2 linked regions of the Schizosaccharomyces pombe genome follow. The protein of the gene in region 1 purifies or fractionates together with the protein of each later gene. This does not show direct contact. Each region holds a gene or a part of one and is shown on either strand. Other genes may lie near its edges. The genes, in order: pdc2 and dhp1.

Evidence for each region.
Region 2: the proteins of pdc2 (region 1) and dhp1 purify together in Schizosaccharomyces pombe (affinity purification with western blotting, with the first as the bait; one study listed by BioGRID). This does not show direct contact.

The regions. Positions count from the first base shown.
Region 1 is NC_003423.3:2,368,300-2,373,609, forward strand, and holds pdc2 (topoisomerase II-associated deadenylation-dependent mRNA-decapping factor), read right to left. Parts: upstream 3,315-5,310; 5' UTR 3,285-3,314; coding exon 3,208-3,284; exon of another isoform or gene 3,153-3,207; coding exon 3,052-3,152; exon of another isoform or gene 2,945-3,051; coding exon 1,156-2,944; intron 1,118-1,155; coding exon 947-1,117; intron 895-946; exon of another isoform or gene 892-894; coding exon 765-891; 3' UTR 536-764; downstream 1-535. Other genes in the region: SUMO deconjugating enzyme Ulp1, read left to right, coding at 1-524; SPOM_SPBC19G7.18C (uncharacterized protein), read right to left, coding at 3,773-4,312, 4,359-4,429, 4,478-4,625. UniProt on the Schizosaccharomyces pombe protein: Activator of decapping that functions as a general and active mechanism of translational repression and required for P-body formation. Stabilizes the 3' terminus of mRNAs and modulates the rates of mRNA-decapping that occur following deadenylation.
Region 2 is NC_003424.3:3,355,545-3,363,052, reverse strand, and holds dhp1 (5'-3' exoribonuclease Dhp1), read left to right. Parts: upstream 1-2,049; 5' UTR 2,050-2,160; coding exon 2,161-5,136; 3' UTR 5,137-5,303; coding exon of another isoform or gene 5,304-5,924; 3' UTR 5,925-5,973; coding exon of another isoform or gene 5,974-6,321; 3' UTR 6,322-6,909; downstream 6,910-7,508. Other genes in the region: Tf2-4 (retrotransposable element/transposon Tf2-type), read left to right, coding at 1-1,506; SPOM_SPAC26A3.11 (mitochondrial omega-amidase), read right to left, coding at 5,304-5,924, 5,974-6,321; cnt6 (centaurin ADOP ribosylation factor GTPase-activating protein), read right to left, coding at 7,438-7,508. UniProt on the Schizosaccharomyces pombe protein: Possesses 5'->3' exoribonuclease activity. Required for the processing of nuclear mRNA and rRNA precursors. May promote the termination of transcription by RNA polymerase II. Essential for vegetative cell growth and chromosome segregation.

The sequences.
Region 1 (5,310 bases):
ACGAGGTAATTAATTTTTACATGAATTTGATTTCGGAACGCTCTAAAATTGATTCATCCTTACCTCGGGTACATGGGTTTAATACTTTTTTTTATACATCTTTGCAGCGCCGTGGATACGCGGGTGTTCGAAGATGGGCCAAAAAGGCACGCGTTAATATTGCAGATATGGATGCTGTATTTATACCAGTACATCTGGATGTCCACTGGTGTATGGCTGTTATTAACAAATCGAAGAAACGATTTGAATACTGGGACTCGCTGGCCGGAAGCCCTGGTAAAGTTTTTGATTTGTTGCGCGACTATTATATTGCAGAAACAAAAGGTGCCGTCGACGTGTCAGATTGGGAAAATTTTATGGATGACAATTCTCCAAGACAACGAAATGGACATGATTGTGGAGTTTTTGCTTGTAAAACTGCTGAATGTGTATCTAGAAATGTTCCTGTTCAGTTTAGTCAAAATGATATGCCTGAACTACGAATCAAAATGGCAGCTAGTATTATTGATGCACAAATCTATTAAATATGTGCTATAAACTTTTTGTCTATATACTTATCGTTTTTTATATTAATTTCTTTCTCGTTCAATACATTTTATTTCATATTCAGCGTTTTCAAAAAGGACATAATTTACTTAAATCTATATTAGAGCGTATGCATTTTTTAAGTAGCAGGGAATACTCTAATTAATAAATCTGAATCCAGGAATCTCAGCAAATATAGCTTTTGAAAAAAAAAATACCCGCATATCTTATAAACAAACTTAAGCGCTGAGCTGACGAGCGTCGAGCCCCATTGCATTTAAAAACAAATTAACATTGCTGATGCGCACAACAGCAATTTCAGAAGGTGCCCGTTTGCTAGTAATGATGTTATCAAGTACTCTGTCCCTATTTTTTACATATTTGTTAGTACAAAAACTCGACTAGACATATTTTAACGTACCTAGTTTCAGAAACCAATGTAAAATGTTGTTCAGAGCTAGCAGCAGTAGCACAAGCTGCTAAGAATTCCCATGGATAAGATTCATCAGCATAAGCTCGAGCGTTAGGTGGTGGGAATACCGTCGAGAAATGACCTTTTACGCGATTAAACATAACATTGAATGTATTTTCCCTAAATAGTTAGATGCTGTAAATACATGTATAACGTACCATTCTTCTTTTTCATTTTGATTTACAGTGCCAGATTGCTTTAAAATTTCTGCGCGACTAATGAATAGAGTAAGGAACGACAAACCAATCTTCGTCTGTATTAAATAAACAGCATTAGTGCGATTGAGAAGTTGAGAAAATAAGTTATTTATAGTTTCCAAATCAAGTTCATTAACAATAGTGAGCAATGGAGGGATGATGAACTGCGTGAAAGAACTCATTTCGGAAACAACGTCCAAAGGCAGCTCACCGTTAACGTCAAATGTTCCCCTAAGGACTATATCAAGAGAATCAAAATTGTAAACTACGACCTTTAAAATCGAAATTTGTTGCTCTTTGGACAAATGTGGGAACAAGCGAGGTAGCAGCCTCATTCCTTTGGGGTGAGAAATTATAGAAATGAATGGAGGCCTAGTCTTAGAAGATGCTTCCAATGATTCATTTATGTATAATGCCTTCCAAATGGACTCCAATTTCTCGCTTAAAGTAGTTTTCCATGTATCTATTTGCTCCTGATCGGTAGTTTCTAGCGTTGAGGCTTTACGGAGGGCTTGCTCAAAGTCAAGCAACAAGTCATAAACTTTCTCAATAGCGTGCAATACATCCTTCTTCGTAGAAAATCCAGAAAAATTGTTTAATGATGAATTTGAAGATGCTGGTTCGGTAGGACGTTTAACATTCAACAATTGTCGTGGTGTGCGAACAGTATTAACAGCAATTTTACCAAGAGCACCTTCTAAAGACAACTGAGTTGCCTTAGGGCGCTCTTTGGCAGAAGAAACCAAACGCTGAAGTTGCTGTTGTAATTTCTGCATAGGATTTTCGGAGCGACGACCACGACGGCGATTATTGCTAGGTCCTAGATAAGTCTGTATAAAATGACTGGCTTCTTCCTCGGAAGGCTTGCGGCCTCGAATAATTGAGTAAACGCGATAATAAAAATCATCAGATTCGGGATCCTCCGACATCAATTGCGATATTTGAATTCTCGCAATAAACGATTTATCACTGCGTGTCATTAACCCAGCACATTGAGCCATGAGCATATGATCACGCTCTAACTTTTGACGTTTTTCATCAAGGTTCTGGTTTTGAATTAATTGTTCCTGCTGGAAAAGATTAACAAGGGAAGCAGGAGGAGCAACACTTGGGTTGTACATGCCGTTTTGAGGATATGGCATTTGAGGTACAAGGGAAGGTTGCATAACAGGATTGGGTATAGCTTGCGAAGGATGTACCATATTAGGAGCAGCTAATCCAGCAAAATCAGTTGTAGTGCTAGGGATGTTTGGTTGACCAAAAGTAACATTACCAATACTAGCCGCACTAATCGCCGGGTCCAATGAAGAGATGTTTTCTCGAGTTACTTGAGCAGCCATTTCGGATGGAACAATGGGAATAGCGGGTTGAGAAGGTGGTTTTGGAGCGGTCATTGAGTTCAATAACTGTTCCTCCAACTCCTGCAAGCTAAAAACCTTCTCAGATGGTTGGGCACCCAAACGATCTTGAAGAGAGGCTACCTCAGGTGGAATAATAGCCGGCTTTTCTGGAACAATATTTTCCCAAATCGAAGCCATAGGCTGCAAATCGGAAAGCTTATTGATCGCAGTAGACGCAGGTTCCCGTGAAGGAAATTGTGAAGCACCATTAAGTCTACTAACTTGAGGTAACTCTGAAGAAGCTGGTTTGACAGGTTTAGCGAAAATATTTTGTTGATTAATTTGGTACTGCTCATCTTCCAATTGTGCAGATGCTTGAGCGGTAGTACCTGAAAAATCAAAATCACGTCCTAGAATTGTGAGAAAAAATATTAAAATATTAAATACTAATAGCTTGCAATATCCCAGATATGACAGCCGAGAATGATTACAGAATCACAAGCACAAAGGTACATACCTATACTTCCAGCGCTAACACCAAAAGTCTCGTCGTTTAGTTCATCTCCGGCTTCATTTAATTGATTACCCAAATCGTCGTAGGTCTCCTCAAAGTCAATGCTAAATATACTTGTGAGCTTAAAGTATCATATTTACATTAATATTAACGACTTACCCATCCTCTTCTAACTGCCCTTCGTTAGGAAACATATTTTCCTTTGGAAGGGTAGTATTAAACCCAAAAAATGACATTTTATGGGTTTATGGTAATGAGAAGTTGGTGGTAGCTAGGTGGGCGGCACTGCATACAACAATACTCATGACAGTAGATTGGGTTGGTTCGACGCAGACTGATTCATGGCGTTTTATATATATTTTTACTTTGCGTTCTTTTTTTATATCTGAATTTTAAAGTTGTTATTTGGTTTGCTATACCAGTAAATCTATCCCTATTTTATTTCACATCAATCTTCAAGACTAGCTATTAAAACCTATCACGTATAGATGTATATCATAAATATGAATTTAAATTTATCTCTTTTTGAAAGACTGAAATGTATCGAAATTTATGCATGAACATACATAAGTTGCTTGCTCAAGCAAGCTACATCAATCTGGCAATGCAGTATAGAAAAAAAGAAATATCTACTAAATTTAACTACTTTACATCATAAATTCAGTGACACTCAAATTGGTAAAAATTAATTTTAAATTATCGTAACATGTAGAGATAAAGGAAATTATTTGGAAGACGATGAATCATTCCAGATCAATTGATCAAATGCCTCCTGTTCGTGAGAAATAGGTTCATCCAACTGTTCAGAGCCTAGATTAGAAGTTCGGGAAGGAAATGCTTCAGAATTTTCTTGTCCACTAAAAGCACTATCTGTGGATTTAACACTCGAGTCTTCTTCGTAAAATGGAAAAGAATTGTTACCGGTATTTCGATTACGGTTACGAATAGCTTCCCATGCTGACGCTGGCTTTGATCGATCTTCAAAGCCATTGTCTTTAGAGTACATGGCGTCCTCTTTCTCCGTACTCTGTGAATTCGTAAAGGGATCTTGACTAGAAGAGGCACCAGTATTCGGCATACTTCCAGGTAATTGATATTTTGAGTTTTTTGGAGGGAATTCAGAAGATGAAGAAGGAAATCTGCCTTGTCGCATCGTTGTTCTTTGTCGAATAAGGGAGTCTTGTATTTTGCGAAGTATTTCAAAGCCATCATCTCTTTGACGTATAGCCGACAAATTGTATGCCAGAGTAGTAATCTGAGCAACCTATTCATAATTTGTAAGCTTGAGCTTAGTATTACTTAAAACTTACCCCATTTCCAGCAAGACCTCCTATAATTGATGTTGCATACAAGCGGATTGGAGTAACCTTTTTGTTACGAGCTAAAAAATAAGAAAGTTATTTTCAATTGCTTGTTCGAAATCTCATACCTAAGTATAATGGGAGAGAAAACCCGACTAGCATCCCAAAAATCGTATTTCTTTTGACACGGTATTTTGCATGATTTAGAAATTCCTTTTGGTCATCACTGAAATGGTTTTGAGGATCATTTAACATTCGTTCCCAAAAAAAATCCATGATAATAAACGTTGGAAGCGATTCCTGAGGCTACACAATAATGTCAAGAATATGAAACGTGCTTATACGGGTTATGTTAGCGAAATAAATGTAATTAAATTATTTGCGGACTGTACAATTTAACCCAATATATAAAAATTTGAGGCCTTTCTAATGTAAAAATACTACTACTAAAAGGTAATAGTACTCATCACTTGTTGCCTTATGGATAGTTTGGATACTGATGTAAGAGGATGTGAATAAGGAGAATCTCTAGGGATTAGGACCATCTAAATTTCCCAGCTACTACAGTGATACTTGGCATGAATAAGAAATACGTATCTGAATAAAAATTTGACACACAAGATTGTTCTGTTGAAATTTCTTATGAAACTGATAGACTGAATTTTTTTTGGCTGGTAAGCACTTGTGATGAAATATGCAACTTTTTCGAACTACGTTTTACATTCCATCTTTCAATGAAACAGACCTTGGTGGCATCAATTCGTGGTATACGATTGTTTTGAATTTTAATATTGCAAGCATATATGTTCAACAGGAATTTCCCAGTTGTTAAATAAGTCTATATCGTATAATTCTTTGTCATTAACCGTATTTATTCATTTTGAACTAATTTAGCACAGAATTCTATCTCGTAAATTAAACAAGCGCCACTGCATTTTACACAGCTAACGAAAAATACAAG
Region 2 (7,508 bases), on another chromosome or scaffold:
GTTGACGAAACAGAACCAATTCCAAAAGATTCAGAAGACAATAGTATCAACTTTGTTAATCAAATCTCGATAACCGATGATTTTAAAAACCAAGTGGTTACAGAATATACGAATGATACAAAATTGTTGAATTTACTAAACAATGAAGACAAACGAGTGGAAGAGAATATCCAACTCAAAGATGGCTTACTAATTAACAGTAAAGACCAAATCTTATTACCTAATGATACTCAGCTGACTAGGACAATTATTAAAAAGTATCATGAAGAAGGTAAATTGATTCATCCAGGCATTGAACTTCTTACAAACATTATATTACGTAGATTTACGTGGAAAGGAATAAGAAAACAAATACAAGAATATGTACAGAACTGCCATACATGTCAAATAAACAAATCTAGGAATCATAAACCTTATGGACCTTTACAACCAATTCCCCCATCAGAAAGACCTTGGGAATCTTTATCAATGGATTTTATTACAGCTTTACCAGAATCATCTGGTTATAATGCACTTTTCGTGGTAGTTGACCGATTTTCAAAAATGGCAATCTTAGTACCTTGTACGAAATCCATTACAGCAGAGCAAACAGCTCGAATGTTTGATCAACGAGTTATTGCTTATTTCGGCAATCCAAAAGAAATCATTGCAGATAATGATCATATTTTTACTTCCCAAACGTGGAAAGATTTCGCACATAAATATAATTTCGTTATGAAATTTTCGTTACCATACAGACCACAAACTGATGGACAAACTGAGCGTACAAACCAAACTGTGGAGAAATTACTAAGATGTGTATGTAGCACACATCCAAATACATGGGTAGATCATATATCCCTAGTGCAACAATCTTACAACAATGCGATACATTCAGCAACTCAAATGACACCTTTTGAGATAGTACATCGCTATTCACCAGCTTTATCACCTTTAGAGTTACCTAGCTTTAGTGACAAAACTGACGAAAACTCTCAGGAAACGATCCAAGTATTTCAAACAGTTAAAGAACACTTGAATACAAACAACATAAAGATGAAAAAGTATTTCGATATGAAAATACAAGAAATTGAAGAATTTCAACCTGGAGACCTAGTTATGGTCAAAAGAACGAAAACAGGTTTTCTTCATAAATCCAATAAATTAGCACCTAGTTTTGCAGGACCGTTCTATGTGTTACAGAAGTCGGGTCCAAACAACTATGAATTGGATCTTCCAGATTCAATCAAGCACATGTTTTCATCTACTTTTCATGTTTCTCACCTAGAAAAGTATCGACATAATTCAGAACTCAATTACGCTACCATTGATGAGTCTGATATTGGAACAATTCTTCATATCCTAGAACATAAAAACAGAGAACAAGTACTCTACTTAAATGTCAAGTACATTTCGAATCTAAATCCGAGTACTATTATGTCAGGATGGACTACATTAGCTACAGCGCTACAAGCGGACAAAGCAATTGTCAATGATTATATTAAAAACAATAATCTAAATATCTGAGAACATATGACTTATCCTCAGATTTACATAGAAAATCTTGGGGAGGGCAATGTCAGCAATACTACACTACGCTATAATACACTACGTTGAGTATCACTATATGTCACATGTTCTAATTATATATCGTACCATGTATGATACGATATGGAGATTGATCTTAATGATAATCTATTAAGATCAATATTATCTGAATACTATAAATAGAGCTACTGCTGAACCTCGTTCCTCAGTTCAGTTATGAGCTATATTAGTGATAGGTAACATTATAACCCAGTTAATACAATACCTATACTCAGTTGCTACTTATACAACCTGTGTATTGTAATATAATAGATCACAAGGAAAACTCACCGCAGTTCTACGTATCCTTAAATCAGATACCAAACTGCGTAGCTTACACTTAAGAGACTAGATTTTAACTATTGTATAGCGAGTACGTTAGTAATTTCCAATTTACTCCAATGTGCGTTAAAAAATTTAGGTAGGACTGCGGAGACTACGCTAGATCTAGATTAAAATACCTAAATATTAAATCTTCAACTTATACTACACTCGTAGTCTTTAGTATCTAAAATTTACCAATTTGGGCTTTTTTGAAGCATTTGGTTTGGAGAAGATTTATTCGATTGAGTATTTTCTCCTTTACACCAAAAAATGGGTGTTCCAGCACTTTTCCGCCTTTTGTCGAGGAAATTCGCAAAGGTCATTACACCTGTTATTGAGGCTCCTACTGAAAAGCTTCCAGATGGTACTGAAATTGAACCAGATTTAAGTCTTCCCAATCCAAACGGAGTGGAATGCGACAACTTGTATTTGGATATGAATGGTATTGTTCATCCTTGTTCCCATCCTGAAGATCGCCCCGCTCCAGAGACTGAAGACGAGATGATGGTTGCTGTCTTTGAATACACGGATCGTATTCTTGCCATGGTTCGTCCTCGTCAGTTATTGTTCATTGCAATCGATGGCGTGGCTCCTAGAGCCAAAATGAATCAGCAGAGATCACGTCGTTTTCGTTCTTCTCGTGAAGCAGCTCTCAAAGAAGAAGAATTACAAGCCTTCATTGAGGAGGCAAAACAACAGGGAATTCCCATCGACGAAAACGCTACGAAGAAAAAATCTTGGGACAGTAATTGCATTACCCCCGGCACACCTTTCATGGACACTTTGGCCAAGTCTCTTCGTTACTACATAATAAATAAACTAAATAGTGATCCGTGCTGGAGAAATGTCAGATTTATACTTTCTGACGCCTCGGTTCCTGGTGAAGGTGAGCATAAGATCATGGAATTTATTCGATCTCAACGAGTGAAACCAGAGTATGATCCAAATACACACCACGTTGTTTACGGTTTAGATGCAGACCTAATTATGCTTGGTTTGGCTACTCATGAACCCCATTTTCGTGTATTGCGTGAAGATGTCTTCTTTCAACAAGGAAGTACTAAAAAGACAAAGGAAGAGCGTCTTGGCATCAAGAGACTTGATGATGTTTCTGAGACCAATAAGGTTCCTGTAAAAAAACCATTTATATGGCTCAACGTTAGCATTTTGAGGGAGTATCTAGAAGTGGAACTTTATGTCCCCAATTTACCTTTTCCATTTGACTTAGAACGTGCGATTGACGACTGGGTCTTCTTTATCTTTTTTGTGGGTAATGATTTTCTTCCTCATTTGCCTAGTTTAGATATTCGTGATGGTGCCGTAGAGCGGTTGACTGAAATATGGCGAGCTAGTCTTCCGCACATGGGTGGTTATCTTACTTTGGATGGTTCTGTTAATTTAGCTCGTGCTGAAGTCATTCTGAGTGCTGTAGGTAACCAGGAAGATGATATTTTTAAGCGTCTTAAACAGCAAGAAGATCGTCGTAACGAAAACTATAGACGCCGTCAACAACGCGAGTCAAATCAGGAATCAGAATCTTATGTTGACAACGTCGTAATTCAGCGTTCAGTTGAGACGCAATCGACAGAAGTTGTTACCTCTTCTAAATCAACTTCTGTTGATACTAAACCGCCAAAGAAAACTCAAAAAATTGACGCTCCGGCTCCAGTGGATTTGGTTAATTTGTCTGAAAAAACTTCAAATCGATCTCTAGGCGCTACTAATAGAGAATTAATTAATAATCGCGCTGCTAACCGTCTTGGACTTTCTAGGGAAGCAGCTGCTGTTTCTTCAGTTAACAAATTGGCGGCCTCTGCATTGAAAGCTCAGTTGGTTTCAAATGAGACACTACAAAATGTTCCTTTGGAAGACAGCATAGCTTCATCCAGTGCATATGAAGATACCGATAGTATTGAATCTAGTACCCCTGTTGTACATCCAATAGACACAAAAGTTTCAAATGTGGGTCAGAAGAGAAAGGCCCCAGATTCGACTGAAGAAAATGAAAATACTGATACAGTCCGCCTGTATGAGCCTGGATACCGCGAACGGTATTATGAACAAAAATTCCACATTTCACCCGATGAACCAGAAAAAATTCGTGAAGCTGTTAAACATTATGTTCATGGATTGTGCTGGGTTCTTTTGTATTATTATCAAGGCTGTCCATCTTGGACCTGGTATTATCCATATCATTATGCTCCTTTTGCCGCTGATTTCAAAGATTTGGCCTCCATAGATGTAAAATTTGAACTAAATCAACCCTTCAAGCCTTACGAACAATTACTAGGCGTTTTACCTGCTGCTAGTAAAAATAATTTACCTGAAAAATTGCAAACTCTTATGACTGATGAAAACTCTGAAATTATTGACTTTTACCCGGAAAATTTTACTATTGATTTAAACGGGAAAAAATTTGAATGGCAGGGAGTTGCTCTTTTACCATTTATAGATGAAAATCGGCTTTTGAATGCTGTATCAAAAATCTATCCTCAACTTACCGAGGAAGAGTCAAAAAGAAATGAGGATGGTTCTACTTTATTATTTATTTCTGAACATCATCCAATGTTTAGCGAACTTGTCAAACAACTTTACTCCAAGAAACGTCAAGGTAAACCACTTAAGTTATCCGGAAAGATGGCACATGGATTGTTTGGCAAAGTTAACACCAATGATTCCGTAATTCCCAATGTATCCGTTCAATGCCCAATTGATGTTACATCCGCTGACGCCCTTCAGAAGTATGGAAGCATAGATGATAATCAATCTATAAGTCTTGTGTTTGAAGTACCTAAATCGCATTTCGTACATAAATCCATGCTTTTAAGGGGAGTGAAAATGCCGAACAGGGTGTTAACCCCAGAAGATATCAACCAAGTACGTGCAGAGAGGAGCTTTTCTTCCCGCCGAAACAATGGTAATTCGTATCGTGGAGGACACCAAAGTTATGGTGTCCGACGCTCTTACCAATCGCAAAGTTACAGTAGTCGACAGAGCTACACTGGAGTTACTAATGGTTTTGCAAACGGTGGAGTTCAACCTCCTTGGTCTGGTAATGGCAATTTTCCTCGTTCTAATGCAAGCTATAACTCTCGCGGCGGCCACGAAGGATACGGCGGGCGCTCGAGAGGTGGTGGTTATTCGAATGGACCGCCAGCTGGTAACCACTATAGTAGTAATCGCGGAAAGGGTTACGGCTATCAGCGAGAATCCTATAACAATAATAACAGGAATGGCTACTATTAATACATTTAAGTTTTCTTAGTACAATTTTGAAAGCGGGTTTGGGATATTGGAGATAAATAATATATCTGATTATTTGAATTTCATTGGCACATTGCATAATTAGTTATGCAATTCAGTTACAAAATGCATGTTGATAACATAAAATTATACTCAACAACTATACCGATCTATTCCTCTTTCTTAAGAGCAGGTAATACTTCTGAATAAACATCAAAGCGGCGTTGAGTATAGATAGGAACGCTGTTTCGAGCGGTAGACATGACAGAGGGATCAATATCTGCGTAAACGATAGACGGTTTTTCATCAGTAGTAGCAATAACTTTTCCGAAAGGGTCTACAACAGTAGAATGTCCCCATGAATGATAGTCAGCGTTCATATCTCTAGCAGGGGCACAGCAAGCAACGAACATCTCATTATCAACTGCTCGGGCTCGTGCAAGTAGTTCCCAATGTAAAGGGCCTGTGGACAAATTAAATGCTCCAGGGTAAATCATCACACTACAGCCATTTCTAGCTGCTATCATAGCGAGTTCCGGAAATCGTATATCGTAACAAATACCCAAACCAAACTTCCCGTATTCAGTGTCAACCATAGTCATGGCGTCGCCAGGTGAAAGACTATCAGATTCGCGGAAGCTAACTCCACCAGGAATGTCAATATCGAATAAATGAATTTTCCGATGAACGGCTATCAATTTTCCAGAAGGATCAAACACCATTGCAGTGTTGTATAATTTGCCATCCTTGCGTTCAGGAATAGAACCGCCAAATAAGTAAGTCTTAGTATCCTACAGTACCGTTAGTCTCACATAATCAACGAAAATTAAATTAACAAACCTTTGCCATAGAGGATAAAGCTTGGTAAGAAGGAGATGATTCCTCTATAGGTTCAGCATACTGATTAAAGTAACCAGTACCATATGGTGAATTGAAAATTTCTGGTAATACAATGACATTAGAACCGTTTTTAGCGGCTTCCAATACTTTTAAACGAGCGAGTTGTAAATTTTCGCTCTTGTCTTTGGTATTGGCAAGCTGAACCAAGCCAATACGAAAAGCACGAAAATCTTTAGGAACCAGAGATGAAGCTGAGACAGACATGATGTTCCTTGTATAGCAAAAATTTAATGAAGGAAAAAAGGATCTTGTGCCTTTTTGAACGAGTCCAAAAAATTTACTGTTCATATAAACAATCACCGACTTGAAATTTTAGGTGAAGGAAGAGGAATGAGTAGAAAGCAAAGATACGAGGGAAGATGTCCTGATTTGTAGGCTAGTCTCAGAATATCTAGCTTGCGATAATTTTGAGCTCCAAAATATTATATTCCTGAAATCTCAATGTAACTTATTAAGCACGTGGCTAGCGAAATCCTCCAATCCAAATTACACCTTGTTATCAAAAAGAAATTTAGCAAGGTGATCAAACTTCCATGTCTTTGATAAGAAGAATGTCGACATCAAACTAGTTTTCAATCTATTGTAAATCTAAAGAAGAAAAAGGGATTTACATTCAAGCAGCAACTACACAAATAGAAATCGTTGTTTGAATGTTACGGAAGGCAAGACCAAAAAAATTGTTTTTGTTTATCTACAAGTTACAAAAGAATGATATTTATTACTGTGTCAACTAGTTTATAGGTAATGATAATATCGTCTGTCATTTTTAGAAAAAGGGGATTCAATTACTATAGATATTCAGTTGTTCCGAATGTGTTGAAAAATAAAATCTTAAGCGTCTTCGTTTCGCAAAAGAAGAAAATAAATGTTATAATAGCTCGAATGAACTGTTTGGCATACATGTTAATTTCACGTATATTGAATATTGATCTTGTTCAATAACAAATGAACTTATGGCATGCATAAGATCCATCAATCGAGAAGAGCCTAAAAATCGCATTTGAATGCGTATTTAAAGAAAGAATAGCTGTATCCTTAGTCAAAAAATTTTGTATTGAAAGAAAAAAGATTAAGAGTATAATGAAAATAAAGAGGAAAAGAAAGTTCGAAAACCAAAAGATGACCAAGAAAATAATGAGTAAATTACGTTGTTTAGCAAACAACCAAAATAAATTGCAATAATAAATTATAGAATTAACACATGATCCGAATAAGAGTAAAGCTGTGGAGATTAATAAGCTCTCCATTCAAATTCGTTGCGCTTCAAATCATGGAATTCACGGAAATCCGAAATGAAATGACACCTGAATAGATATTGAAATAGATGGTAAAAAGAAAGAATGAATTCGATTGGAAAAATGAACATAAAAGATGATTTGATGCAAAAAGTAAAAATGCTTCTCCCTACTCTTTCAAATACTTTGTAAATTGTTTTTGCGAAAGATATGATTGCATATCTGGACTTACATGCTCCG